3 linked regions of the Xenopus tropicalis genome follow. The protein of the gene in region 3 purifies or fractionates together with the protein of the main gene of each other region. This does not show direct contact. Links are inferred from orthologs where the notes say so. Each region holds a gene or a part of one and is shown on either strand. Other genes may lie near its edges.

Evidence for each region. Proteins that work in one complex are often made in the same cells at the same time.
Region 1: the proteins of med26 (region 3) and med9 purify together in Homo sapiens (affinity purification with mass spectrometry; 6 studies listed by BioGRID and IntAct, with this or other methods). This does not show direct contact. The link is inferred for Xenopus tropicalis from reciprocal best matches to the Homo sapiens genes MED26 and MED9.
Region 2: the proteins of med26 (region 3) and polr2d purify together in Homo sapiens (affinity purification with mass spectrometry; 3 studies listed by BioGRID and IntAct, with this or other methods). This does not show direct contact. The link is inferred for Xenopus tropicalis from reciprocal best matches to the Homo sapiens genes MED26 and POLR2D.

The regions. Positions count from the first base shown.
Region 1 is NC_030685.2:15,709,325-15,714,335, reverse strand, and holds the start of med9 (mediator of RNA polymerase II transcription subunit 9), read left to right. Parts: upstream 1-1,884; 5' UTR 1,885-1,966; coding exon 1,967-2,094; intron 2,095-5,011.
Region 2 is NC_030681.2:125,371,501-125,376,339, reverse strand, and holds the start of polr2d (DNA-directed RNA polymerase II subunit RPB4), read left to right. Parts: upstream 1-1,712; 5' UTR 1,713-1,725; coding exon 1,726-1,798; intron 1,799-3,549; coding exon 3,550-3,730; intron 3,731-4,839. UniProt on the Homo sapiens protein: Core component of RNA polymerase II (Pol II), a DNA-dependent RNA polymerase which synthesizes mRNA precursors and many functional non-coding RNAs using the four ribonucleoside triphosphates as substrates.
Region 3 is NC_030677.2:112,238,831-112,243,598, forward strand, and holds the start of med26 (mediator of RNA polymerase II transcription subunit 26), read left to right. Parts: upstream 1-1,709; 5' UTR 1,710-1,854; coding exon 1,855-1,926; intron 1,927-4,768. UniProt on the Homo sapiens protein: Component of the Mediator complex, a coactivator involved in the regulated transcription of nearly all RNA polymerase II-dependent genes.

The DNA.
Region 1 (5,011 bases), on a different chromosome or scaffold from region 3:
TTTCAGTGAGTGAAGCAGAAATGAGCAGGGTTAATTGCTCATTCACGGAAACATGTTTTCCTTTAGGCCGGCATATTGCATCACAGAAGTCCTAGCCATCCGTAAACAAATTCCTCTATCTGCGTATTTCATGTTCCAACGCAGGTCCTGTATCCCCTTGGTGTTTGGGGTATGTTGGCAACACGCTGGGAGAGATAATGAACACAGGCTGGCTGCGTGCCAATGCACAACTAGTTCACTTACACACCAACTCGTGTACTTTGAGAGCAATGGGAGCAAAGCGTGTCGGGAGCCATTTTAAATGAAGGTAGCTGAAGTATAAGTTCCCCTTTTTAAAGGGCCACTAACGTTAGAAAATGCAAAAGCACTAAAATGACGTTCGAAGACCTGGACACGTGTAACCTAACAGAACAAACGCATCCTTAGGGGATGCCCACAATCGTTCCCTGTAGCCCCAGCTACTCCCCCATCTGTAGCCCCAGCTACTCCCCCATCTGTAGCCCCAGCTACTCCCCCATCTGTAGCCCCAGCTACTCACCCATCTGTAGCCCCAGCTACTCACCCATCTGTAGCCCCAGCTACTCACCCATCTGTAGCCCCAGCTACTCCCCCATCTGTAGCCCCAGCTACTCCCCCATCTGTAGCCCCAGCTACTCCCCCATCTGTAGCCCCAGCTACTCCCTCATCTGTAGCCCCAGCTACTCACCCATCTGTAGCCCCAGCTACTCACCCATCTGTAGCCCCAGCTACTCATCCATCTGTAGCCCCAGCTACTCCCCCATCTGTAGCCCCAGCTACTCCCCCATCTGTAGCCCCAGCTACTCCCCCTTCTGTAGCCCCAGCTACTCACCGATCTGTAGCCCCAGCTACTCACCCATCTGTAGCCCCAGCTACTCACCCATCTGTAGCCCCAGCTACGGCCCAGACTGGCAATCAGTGGGTTCTAGTAAATGCCTCAGGGGCTGCTGTAGGATGCCATGGACAGTCGCTATTTATTGGGCTGGTGGGGGGGCTGTTTGGGCCTCTGTGTACTGGAAATGCCAGGGCCTATTTTGTATCCCAGTCCAGACCTGCCCCTGGCTCTGCTGTATGGCCAGGGCTCAATTTTAGGGCTATGCCACCCTGAACACCCCCACAATATGGCAATTGGTGCATACAGTTTCCACACCAGAAGTGCTGTTAGCTGTCTATTTTTTGGGAACAAAAGTATATAGAGCACAGAGCCCAGGGCAGCTGTCCCTTATCCGCCACCTTATAACGACAGCTCTGGCCATGGATACAGTAGGGTTATTGGTCAATAAATGGAGGGGAGTATTTATTAACGCTGGAAACAAAAATCACCACTGATGTTGCCCATAAAAATCAAGAGTTTTACTCTTGTTTTCTAACTTTTATGACTCTTCAAATCTAATGCTGATTGGTTGCTATGGGCAACATCACCAGCGACATATGTTTCTAATGCTAATGTCTATAATCGCCAAAGGGGCTAGAAGCAGTAACCACACTAGTACAGAAGAATAGATTAATAACAGGGGGTTATTAAGATAATAATAGATAAATACAAAGTATAACAATAAATACAAATAAATACAAGATACAGTTGCAATAATTTAAGAGTCAAAGACACAAGAGGATGGAGGTCCCTGCCCCGTAGAGCTTACAATCTATATGGACTAGTCACAACGTATCCCATAATGCAACGGTGTTTTTGAAGTGACAAGGGCTGCTTGTTATAGTGCCCCATGCAATAGGGCGCCTCAATGAATCACTTCCATCACCAAACACCATATACAATGAAACCTTTTGTCAATAACTTAGCGCAGCCGAACGGGCCCTTATCTATGACGTCGCGCAAGCCGCGGTCGCGCCAGTGACATCATTACGAAACCGCCGTATTCAGCTACAGGCCGCGACGCACAGCTTGTGACGCAGTATTTGTGCTGCCGGTGAAGCCAGCGATAGTAACATGGCTACCGGCGGCAATGTGAGACCGGCTGAGGAGCCGGAGGAGGAAGAAGAGGAGGATGAAGCTGCCGAAGAGGAGGAGGAAGAGGAGTATACCTTCCTACCGCTGGTGCACGACATCATTAAATGGTACAGTTAGTTTGGGGGTCATTGTAACTGAAACACTGCCCCGCTACTGAGCTGTTTCAGCAGTCGGAACCAGCAGTGTTTGTGTATCATGGGAAGTTGCCTGGAATGTCATTTTGCTTTAGTATGTAGCATAAATGTATTTGTATTTACTGTCATTTAGTTGGACACCACTTGCAGGTACTTTTATTGCATTCCCTTTGCAGCCAGTAGCATTCTGTGTCCCTTTGGCCCCATACAGGTAACATTGGAGACAAACATCACTGGGGATGGTGCCCATGATTGGTTAGGTTGGCTTCCAATGTTAATAAATACACCCCTTTATATCTGCAGGGCTTATTTACACTTGATTGTGGTTTGGAATACCTGTTGGTGGGTTAAAGAAGAAGGAAAGGGGGAATTATTGGGGGGTAAAATGTTAGCGCCCCGCCCAAGTGACTAAGATCACTTACCTGATACCCCGGGCTGGTGCTCCTGTTAAGCTTTATCAGAAAGGTCTATGTAAATACAGCCATAAGCACTCACACAAACGCTGCACTGAGTCCTCTATCAAAAGAAACAGGGTTTGTTGTCTTTGTTTTCCTGTGCCAGAGTCTGTGCAGCTTTCTCCTCTCTCCTGTCCCCCCCCTCAAGAATGCTAAGAACTCCCCCCCCCCCCTTAGGAATGTTTGATCTGAGCCAATCAGCAGGAAGCTGACTCATAGTCTAACTAACTGAGCATGTACACCAGTCTTGGTCTTGGTGCAGGAGCGAGGCTTTATGGGAATTTTCTTTAAAGAACTCAGCCTTTTTTTTTGTCCTATGAGGCTTCTGATCATCTGAACAGGAGAAATATGGGGAGACTTAAGGGCACTATTGAGAGAACTGAGGGTATGCCTGCAGCTTGAGATTAACTCTCTATTAGCCTTTCCTTCTCCTTTAAGTTGCTGCTGTGAAGAGTAGACCACTCTTGCCCCAATGGAAACACTTTATGTGATTTTTCCTTTACAGAATCGCACTTTCCATCTCATTAGCGGTGGCCGTTTTGGGTCCACTGCCAAGGACACAGGAAGTACTAATGTGCACTTACCTCCTGTTTCTTCTACCAAGCATATATGCATTTGCTGAGAAAACAAGAGTTTTTGACCTGCTTCTGCCCTGAACCCACGCAAGCCCAGGCTGACCCATTGTGTTAACATGTCTTATAAACCCATGCCCTACCTGCCCACTTTTGATGTTGCCAGAGGGGGGTGGGTTAGAGGCAAGTTTATAAAAGAAAGTGGCCAGGAAGAGTCAGATGTAGCTGAGCTGGGTCGTCATAATGATAAGGGTGGAAGGAGCTGGGCCAGGAAGTGATGTCACACTGGGTAAAACGGGTAAAGCCGCAGGGTATGTGTGGGCCGTGCATCACGTGCTAAGCCCAAGCCTGCAAATGGCAAATTTCTCCCAACCCACAGCCTCAAATAATCAATGTAATATTGCTAAAGGATGAACTGTATATGACAGAAACTGCTGAATTTGCATTATGGGGGATACAGCTGGATCAGAGCCAGTAGGTGTCCTTCATTCAGAAATGGCAGCGTGTAGTCTGTGCAGCAGTGCAGCCGTCGGCAGGAGACTACAGCTCTCATAATGGGAAATCTAAAGGCAGAGAGGATTGTACCAGTTCCATTAAGGCGGGGGTGTCAGGCTCTAGTCTGTCCAGCAGATATGAACTACAATTCCTGCATTCTTAATGTTTGTTTGGGAGCAGTGCTGTGCAACTTGTACTGCATAACTTTCCTGCTATGTGGGACAACAATCACACACAGGGTATGGATTATATTGATATTATGGCATGATACAAAGAAGGCAGTGGAGCCTTTGCCTAGGCTGGGGGCTTTAAGTACTTATTGGAGGGCCCCACCTGACCCACAGGCCATTTAGTTGCCCGAATCTTCCCTAGTAACGCTTTATAGTACATTATGCATATATAGATAATTTGTGTTTACTATAGGAGCCCCTTTAATGAAAGCAGGGCTGACCAACTGGAGCCTCTGGGATAAATGTGGCTTTTCACGTTTTAGGGCTTAGTGGCTGCTTATACTCGTCCGTATGATCTCCTCATTTCAATATTTATCCAACCCTCAGACATGATATGACTACTAAGCAGCTGACTACATAGGAATCCAGTAAGCCCTGCCAAGTTTCATTTGTTAATGTGACTTGATAATCGCAGGACAGGGATGTTACTGTGCCTTTAAATCCTAACCTTTGGCTAATTTTATGTGCCAAAAGTTGGACCCAATTCTTTCCCCCTATTACTGACTTGTGTTGGTCAGCGACATATATTTATGGCCGATAAAAGCTGCCACCCAGTGTGGTGGGCCCAGATCTGCTCGTTTGGTGACCCCACCGAATGAGAGGATCTGGCTGTGTATGGCCACCTTTAGAATTGACGTTGGGCTTGAAGGCTGAGCAAAGTTCTGATAGGCTGGAGGTAGAATCCTGCGAGCCTGGGAAACTGCTGGTTAGTTTACTGGTAGCAAGTAGGGCTTGTACATAAGGTTATGGGTGCTGCTTGGGGGACATGGGTGTCAGTATAAGGCGTGTCTGGGCAATGATTATGATAGGAGGTTGGGGTTGGATCAGGTTGCAGGTCTGGGTCTTTCCCAGTAGATCTAAATAAATCTCTAGCTGGTGGGTCACTTTAGGAATGTGAGATTACTCCTGAATTCATTGACCCTTTATACAACCCTGGCCATAGGAAAGCAGTGAGAAATGAAATGGGAAGGAGTCGCCATTGTGGGGCGATAGGGACATGCAGCCTTCAGCCACTGAGGAATTCTATCTCCCATATCCACTGCCGATGCTGGGAGTTATAGTGCTGTAACGGCCTGCGGGGTCCTGTTGGGATAGAACAGATCCGCTTTACTTGCAAGCAGGCACGTAGCCTATAAAT
Region 2 (4,839 bases), on a different chromosome or scaffold from region 3:
TGCACTGTTTCAGAAATATCTTCAGGAAAAAGTCCAGTCATTTGTCTATGAGCCAATCCTTTCTGGGTTCTGGCAGACAAAAAACAAAATTAGTTTTGTATAAGCCTAAGTTCTGACTTAAAATAAGCAGTTTATGCACAAAAACCAATGTGCATGGATGAAAGCAATGCTACAAGGAAGAGTGGGCTAGAAATCCTTATCAGCCATGTAAAAGATAAATCAAAGCATTTGGTTACAGTTATTGTATAAAAAAGTGCTGCAACCAGTTAAGTTTAAAGGAAAACATACCTTTAGAATGAATAGTTAACCAACAGATTATATCATATTAAATGGCCTATTAAAGAATCCTACCAAACTGCAATACATATGAGGAAATAATGGCCTTCTACATCTTTTTCTTTGAGCCACCATTTAGTGATGGGCTGGGTGCTCCCTCAGAGATCACCTGACCAGAAATAATGCAGCTCTAACTGTAACAGGAAGTAGTGTGGGAGTAAAAGATAGAACTCTGTCCATTCATTGGCTGATGTGACCTAACTCATAAATTGTATGATCCCATGGGGTAGCCTGTAGTACTTAAAGGAAATGTAACACTAAATGTTTTTAAGTAAAAACACTATTCTACCCTGCCCCAATAACTGCCCTATCCTGCAAACCACTTAGTATTTTAAATGCTTTAATAGAAAATACCTGCTAAAACTTGGCTTCCTCTCAATTGAACTACAGGGATAGGGCAAAAGGAGCTGCATCCACTATGCGACGATCGATTGATCGAGCCTAGCCTGACTCCTTCCATACAGAAAGAAGGCTAGGCTCGATCAATCGATCATCGCATAACATGCTACTACACATTTTGTATGAAAATGGTTGATCTAAATGAAGTACAGTTTTACAGCTGCATTGTGCCATATATATTTATAGAGACCTACATTGTTCAGGGGTATGGTTTTAATTTAAAGTACACAGAAGATTTTGATCAGATATTATCTGACCCAGCACAAGATCGTGTAGGATCATACCAAACCTGATCCCCACAGCTGTAACACAAATCAGATCAAATGGTGGGTTTTGTCCCTGCATCTACATCACACAATGTGTTTCAATGAGAGAAAAGTATTTCAGACGCCATCAGCTTTTATCTTGAATAAACGTATCTCTGAGCTGCAGCACAATCCAACACTGCCCATTTAGTACAATGTATTCCTGCATTAAAAGTCTGATAGCTGCTCCGCCAGCCCCTCCACTTGCCTAAATGCTAAGCTAGAGTTTCCCAAACTGTGACTAGTAAGGCCATGGAGTCTCTGCTGCCCATGTGTCGTGTGTAGCCACTGTGCGTCTGTATAATGCTCCCTGAATGCAGCCTTTCCTACAGGCCAGTTAAAGGCCACTACTATAACGCTAACGCACCTGTTCACAGGTAGAGAAATGCCTTTTAAAAGTATGGAACAGGGCCCTGGGCAGGTGCTGCTGGCTATTTAGCCTGCCAGCGAGAAGCTCTAACAGTGCGAAGATACCCATAAGCCTGCCAGGTATTTAAGAAACGTTACCATTTCCCACATCGGTTACGGGCTGAGGCCTCCCCCAGCCACACTGCTATTCAACATTCCCGCCGCAGTACGACCCTGTAGTTAAAGGCGCCCCGCGCAGTCACGTGGTGCTATGACGTAAACCAGCAGGGGCTTGTGGGTAATGGGAAGTAGTCACTAGAGACGCTGAGACCCGGTTATGGCTGCTGGCGGAGCGGAGGCGCACTCTGGGGACCCGGAGGAAGATGCTTCACAATTACTGTTTCCCAAAGGTACGTGATAGAGCTCAGGCCTATAGTGTAGCCCCCCCCTTACACCCCCGGATGTTCCTGCACACACTGGCGGGATGCACAGAGCTCCCAGCAGCAGCAGAACACAAACGCCTGCGGAAAGATAAAGCCCAAGTGCTACCGCCATCACACTGGGTCCTCTCTCTCCCCCCTCATTAGCCCATTGCCATTCAGTACCCTGAGTAACCCATAGGCTGCTATACGTTTATCATAGCAGCTGGGACAGAGGGCTTTTTATCCCATGTTTTACTGTACGTGCAAAGATGTTTGCGAGCACTTTGGCTACTGGGGCACCTTTGGGGGCACAGATCTTCCCTGCTAAAGGGCTGTGGTTGCCTTGGGCTGGTACAGAAGCACAAAACATTTCTAGCCTACTTCTTATAAGCTTTTCTTCTTTTTTTTAAAGGTGAATTAAACCCTTTAATTGTTTAACTTGTATGACCCCTGCCACCACCCCAACTGCCAAAAGCCACCTGTTCCCTGCCCCCCCATATGAGTATGGGGGGGGGGGGCATATGAATTTCAAATATCCTTACTGCTAGCACGGGTGGGTCCAGGTGCACATGTCCCAGACCTTCAGCAGAGGGAGTTTACAAGGAACACATTTGCAGGTTGGGACCCAACCAGAAATCTTTACAATCTTATACAAAACAAATTCAAATGCCTTATGCGTTTTGTGTTGCCAAGACACACAATCATAGGCTCAATTGATTAAGTGCCTCTTGGCAACACAAAATGCGTAAGGCATTTGTATTTTGTATTCATAATGTAAAATGTAATTCTACAGACTGTAATAACTTATGGCTTCTGGTTTCAACTAAGTGGTCTTGATTGGTGCCTGCAACTGATCACTAGTGAGGAACATGGCACCCGATGCCAGGAAAAGGTTGGCACTCAGTATGCCTGTCACCTTTGTGCCTGGAACCGGAAGTGACTCGGCCACCGACTCTGCTTTCTTAAAGGAACAGTAACACCAAAAAATAAAAGTGTATAAAAGTAACTAAAATATAATGTGCTGCTGCCCTGCACTGGTAAAAGTTGTGTGTTTACTTCAGAAAGTCTACTATAATTTATATAAATAAGCTGCTATGTAGCCATGGGGGCAGCCATTCAAAGGAGAAAAGGCACAGGCACATAGCAGATAAAACACTATTGTATTCTACAGAATTTATCTGTTATCTGCTATGTAACCTGTGCCTTTTCTCCTTTTTTCCAGCTTGAATGGCTGCCCCCATGGCTACACAGCAGCTTATTATATAAATTATAGTAGTGTTTCTGTAGCAAACACACCAGTTTTACCAGTGCAGGGCAACAGTGCATTATATTTTTATTACTTTAAAGCTCTTTCATTTTTTGGTGTTACTGTTCCTTTAACTCTTCATGCTGTCCCTGTCTTCTGCAGGAATGGGTGTAGGTGTCAGATGGGGCTAATAGGGCAGGTTTGGGTAGATATTACAGTTGTCAAATGTGGGTGCCACTCAACACCAGGAATGGGATGTAGGTGATAAATATTTATTGTTGCTCTGTTTTATTGTGCAGTATTATTTGTGAGTGGGGAAGGGGCGGCAAGGTTTGAAAGAGAAAGTTTTGTATAGAAAAAACAAATAGCTGCTTAAATGTATGCATTGATTGCCTATGGCAGGGAAATCTCTTAAAATATTGGCTGTAATATATTCCGTCCCTATACCAGTTCAGGCCTTTACATGTCGGTTTTGCTTCTTTACATTGTGTAGAGTTTGAGAGTGCTGAGACTCTGCTGAATTCGGAGGTGCACATGCTCCTGGAGCACAGAAAGCAACAGAATGAGAGCGCGGAGGAAGAACAGGAGCTCTCCGAGGTCTTCATGAAAACCCTGAACTACACTGCCAGGTTCAGCCGCTTCAAGAACAGAGAAACCATTGCCAGTGTCAGAAGGTACCTGTCCTATTCCCCACTACATGCAATGTGTGCCTTGAGCTAGCTGCATGGCGAGGGCGCTGTAGTGCTGGCTCTCCTTGTGGCGCCCAGCAATAGGACCATCAGGATAAGATTTTGGGGAGAATTATTATGTTACTGTTTCCCTGCTTGTGGATCTGTAGCAGTGTGACTGGTAGGACCATGTTTTAAAGGAGAATGCAAGTCAAAATGTAAAAAGCATACTGCCCAATAGTCCTCCTATTGTTTAGTAAAAACGCCACACTTTTGGCTCACCTAATCAAATATTTACTCAGTCACACTTACTTCACATTTTCTAGAACAGGCAGCCATCTCTAAAAAGGTATTCTCCCTTCCTTTCCCTCCTTGCTTCATACTGCACATGTGTTTCATTCCCTCCCCCCCTCCCCTCTGCCAGATCCGCTTCTGATTGGCTGGTGGGCATGTGTAGCTCAGAACAGGAGACAGGATCAAGTTACACACATACTCGGAGAATAGGAAGGCTGCCGCTGGCACCTACAGGAAGGGGAGAGAGATTTCAGTGATGTCACTGTAGGCTTCACACCGCTGTAGGCTGCCAGCACCATATCTCAGAGAAGCAAGCAGGGATCTGGGAATTTAGATATGCAGTAAGTACTTAAAAAAATGCCTTTAGACTTCCTTTTAATTTATATTAACCTTTCATTGTCCTTTAAAGGATTATTAAAGGTATTTATAGAGGTTAATACCCCTGGAGAGCCACCCCTCACCTGATATTGTTGCCCCACTTTCCTTACCCCTTCACACTGGCTGGGGGTGCCATCTCATGCTGCTTCTCTTCCAAGTGATTGCTGCCCGGGAATATGCACAGTGAAAGGCTAGCTCCTTTGGCTTCATCTGCACATGTTCCTGGTGCAAGTTTGCTGCAAAGTTGAAGCAGTGCAAGATGGTGCCCACTAACCCCACTGCTTTTTCTGAACAGTTAAGGCACCAAGTGCAGTTGTGCCATTTGGAAGGTGGGTTGGATTTCTCCCCGGGGGCTGCTAACTTGTATATATGATGTCTTCCTTAAAGAAAAACTGTACCCCCAGAATGAATACTTAACAATCAGTAGTGTGGGAGCAAAAGGC
Region 3 (4,768 bases):
ACTGACTTAACATTATATAAACAGGCACTTCATCTGGCATCCACCAAACACAGTATTTCAACGCAAGTTATTGCCATACCTTTTACACTTCTTTCTAAACTCCTACACTGGTGGTGCAGATCTTCCTACATGGTTGGCACTTCTCAATTCAGCAGACAGTGACAGTACTTAAGAGACACTTGGAATCCTAAATAGACTGGCACAAAACCGGATTTTTGAAGCAGATGGTGATGCAGTTAAAAATGATGAATTTATTTAGTAACAAGACCTCTCAAAAGGACAAGCCGTATGCATTTTGTACCTTATGGGGCACTTAATCATTAGCCTATGATTAAGTGCCCCATAAGGCACCAAACGTGTAAGACGTGTCCTTTTGAGAGGTCTTGTTACTACATAAATTCATCATTTTAACTGCATCACCATCTGCTTCAACAGTCCAGTCTTATGCCAGCCTTATTTGAAATCCAAGTGTGTCTATCACTTCCCCTGAGCTGAAGGTCTGGGGCTTGAGCACCCGGACCTCAAGAAACTGTTGGTGAGTTCTACCTTAATATATTGCATTTTTTCAATATTCATACATCAATAAGTTTTTAAGACCCAAACACAAAAACCAAGTTTTATGCAGATGGGAAGCTTACCAATTTTATTTTGACCACCTGTGCATCAACGATATCCACGAATACCATTGTACACTATAGCGCTAATGTCTCCTTGTTGAAACCAAGAATACTAACCCAAAACAATAATTATCCCCTGATCACTAGTCCTACACCAAACTAAGTTGTCTGGAACCCACCACCCCAGAAATGACTGCTTGACTGCCATATGTGAAGATGATTCATCATTTCAGAGAACCCATTTCCAGCTCCCTGCTGTCCAGTGTTATACAGCTTTACACAACAACTGGCAATGCATGGCACTCTACATGGTGATATTTAGCTTGTGTGCAGCTACTAATATTTCTTGTACTGATATAGGTTCCAGAGACAGTTTGGAACTCAGTAGAGAATGAAAAAACTGGTAATGAATATGTTTTAGAGGGCTACGTAGAACGTCTGCCTCTCCATATTTTCTGAATCTAACCTTTGTCTCTGAGATAAGGTTACAAGACAAACTAAATAAAACAAAACCCAGACAATTCTAACATATGCAGGTTGCAGGGCTGAAATAAGTGTAACCTGATTTCACTTGAATATATGGCAATATGTGTAGCACTTCTAGCTAACTTTTCTAAACAAACGTTCGATTCTTTTTCCTGCAAACTTACTCGTATGACTTATGAACTACAACTCCCAGAATTCCACAAAGAGTTCCATAGTAGTTCATAACGACCCACGGGTCGCTCTGTTTCAGTGTCGCTGACTGAGGTGATGTAGTTAAATAAGCCCCTCCTTCCAGCTAGGCTTATAGTCTACTGCACAAAAGTTGCAGGGTAGACAACAGTGTTTATTTTAAGTGATGCATCTTGCCTAGTAACAACTCAGGTGCCTAAAGGCTAGCAGGCGCACGGGCTGCCCCCTCTCTCCATGGATACCGAAGACGAATGACAGCTTTAAGTCGTGTCTGACACTTCCTACTGAGGGGGAAGATGAGAGACGTTCGTGCGTGACGTACGTGCTACCTAGGGGGACTGTGACGCCAGGACGCCGCTACCGTCACGTCACAAAGCGTGCAGCGGCGGACTTCCCGGCGTGCCTCGGGACTCCCGGTCGCTCGACTCCATCGGGAGAGACGCGTCTGGGAGTCTCCGGCTTTCTCGCTTCTTCGCTGCTCTCCCTGCGCCCGGGAACTCGTGTTCCTTCCTCCCAGGGAACATGCCGCGCCGCCCTCCGCAGTGATCCCCGGACTGAGGCCATGACAGCCGCTCCGGTAACCCCGCGGGAGATCAGGGAGAGGCTGCTGCAGGCCATCGATACGCAAAGCAACGTGAGTCAGGGGGGACAGGGAGTGGAAAGAGCGCAACACGGGGTTTCGGCACTTGATGAAACCCTCTGAACCAGCAGTGAGAAGCTAGACTAGGGACGACCGGGAAAGGGCTGACGGAGAGTGACTGGAGGCTGCTGTGACACTATCCCTTGATTATGGGTGGTTGGTGGCTAAGGGCTGGGGAAAAGAGAGGTGTCGTTACTCTGGAATGCACTTTTTGGCTCCAGGTTATTAGTTGAGGGTCACATGAGGCTGGGAAAGACCGAGTCCCCTGGAGCCAGAACGTGCAAGAGCCTTAGGGTGGTGGAGGCAGTGGCACTGACCATGCCGGGAGCTGAGAAGCCCACAGTGGAGTGCTATAGGTAAGGCAGAGCTCGATAGGAACAGCTAGTTGAGAGCCCCTTCTCTGTGGGTAGGTGAGAGACGAGTATAAAGCCTGAGAGCTGAGCAGGAAGTGGGCAACTGGGGAATGGAGGATTATGGGTCCCGGCGTTTATCTGGGGTTGCAGTCCTTTGTAGCAGGGACCCCTGGCGCTTGTTTTAGGCCATCTCGCGTTCTTAATCCGACTCTGTATATTCGAGCACATCCGTCCTTACTTTGTAGGCGAGGTCGGGGATAGGGCCTAGTCGCGGCCTTAAGTTAGCAGACTGCCCTTGTAGGCACCGGCACATGTCAGACTGCTGGCTAGGCTTGCGATGCCCGAGTCGGTGGGACTGCCAAAACACACTCCTTTGGCATATTCTTATGTTCCTGGCAGTGCAGATGTGTGCTTGTGGGGACAGGGTGCATTTATCTCATGTTGTTGGCATTACTCTGGTGTGGGCAGGCGGTGTGCTTGTTAAACTGAGAGATCTGTTCTCAAAGAAACAGAACAGGGAAAGTTCAGAATGCTATTTATTGTATTTCATTTAGAGATTTGTCATGGGTCCTTATGTGACCGATTTATCTTTGACTGAAGTGTATGGCATTTATAACTGCATTATATACAGACCTGTTGTTGTATGTGCTGTTATATTTGAGGTGTAACAACTCCCACAAATTAGAAGGCCAAGTAATTTGCAGTCAGCAATACAATTTATTGGTATGTCTCAAATTTGTAAAAGCTTTCACTGTTGTTTACAGTATATAATCTACTGCACTTTCTATCTTCTCTTGATACTTATTTTAGCATTGGCAGGATGCGTCGGCACCTATAGAGTTTAATTCTGCAAAGCACTTATGTAGCAAAAGTTTGAAGTACATTGCAGGATAAGATTTGTAACCATTATTAACATGTATCTATAAAGCATAATCTCTTTGTAAACAACTTCTGAAGTTTGAGGGTTTTTTTTACTGAAGCCTTTACTATAAAGAGTGAACACTACTATTAAATTGATAATAATCTATTGCTGAAAACCTACTTTCAGTTATAGCTTTAAATACATGTGTATTTCCTGTATCACTGGAGATATACAGCTTGTACATTTAGAAAGGATTTGGACCTTTTAATGCCAGAAGCATCTCAAAGTTATTTTGGGGTGAGGGACACATGGGTATGTACATACTGAATTAATTTGTGTCTTTAATGCTGACACATACCTTCTGAAAGTCTGTATTTGGTAGCTGTACTTTTGAAAGGCCTGTGTCTGCATGGGAATTTTTAAGCTGTAGGTAAACAAAAGCACATGTAAAAATAGATTTAGGCAACTGTGATAAAGGATCCTGGTTTCCAGAAAAGCATATATTGTTTAGGTTGGGTATGCTTTATATTAGAATTGATTTGTAATTTTTTAATATCTCACAAATAGTTAAATATTTATTGCGCTGTATTACACAGGTGTGAAAAATAACAACTAAAGGTGCTGAGCAGTACAGAGCTAGGGCTCTTTGATAGATGCATTAGAGGAAGGTACTTGTAAGTGTTGTTCCTTTCTTTCAGTAACCACTTTTGGGAGTGTTCGGGAAAAAAATCAGTAAATCGCTACACCTTTGGCTTTAGGTATAGTAGTAGCCCTATTGTAATCAGTTTGTTAGCCTGCAGAATTGTTCAGCAATTTTTAACCCTGGTTGCTACTTTGACCCTTTTAATGTTTTTGCATTTTCACTGGAGAACTCCTTATGAATCTCATATGATGTTATTGTGTAGTGCACAACATGTTTTAGAATAACGGGTTCTAAATGAAGAATCTGTTAATCCGAAAGACACTGTACACTACACCATAAAATTATTATAAACTGTCACAGTTAAGAGTTTTTTTTGTTTTTTTTTTTTATTTTAAACCCATAGAATAACTGAAAGATGAGATGTTACTTGTTCATGCTTTTTGAGAACAAGCATGCTGTTTTGTGTTTGGATTTTTTTCTGTATAGAGGCATTGCTTATGGCTTACTTTTTTTTTTCCTTATAGCTTATGAGGCACCTAGGTGACCTGTTCATACCTATGGTATGGGTTATGCTTTTATGCTGTTTCTTAAAGGGGTTTTTCACAGTTAAGTTAACTTTTAATATGATGTAGAGTGATATTCTGAGACAATTTGCAATTGGTCTTAATTTTTTTTTTTTATTTGTAGTTCTTTAGTTATTACATTTTTAGTTTAGGAGCTCTCCAGGTTGGAGTTGCAGCAGCTATTTGGTTGCTAAGGTCCAATTTACCTTAGCATCCAGGGAGTGGTTTGGATGAGACTGGTATATGAACAGCAGAGGGCCTGAATAGAAAATTTACAAAAAGTAACAGCAATAAAACTGTAACTTCACAAAGCAAGTGTTTTTGCAGTTTTTAAATGAGGGCCACTGACCCCAGCAGTGAAGAGTTTGAAGAAGTCATTCAGAAACTATAACAAATAAATAAGGCAGACCAGCTG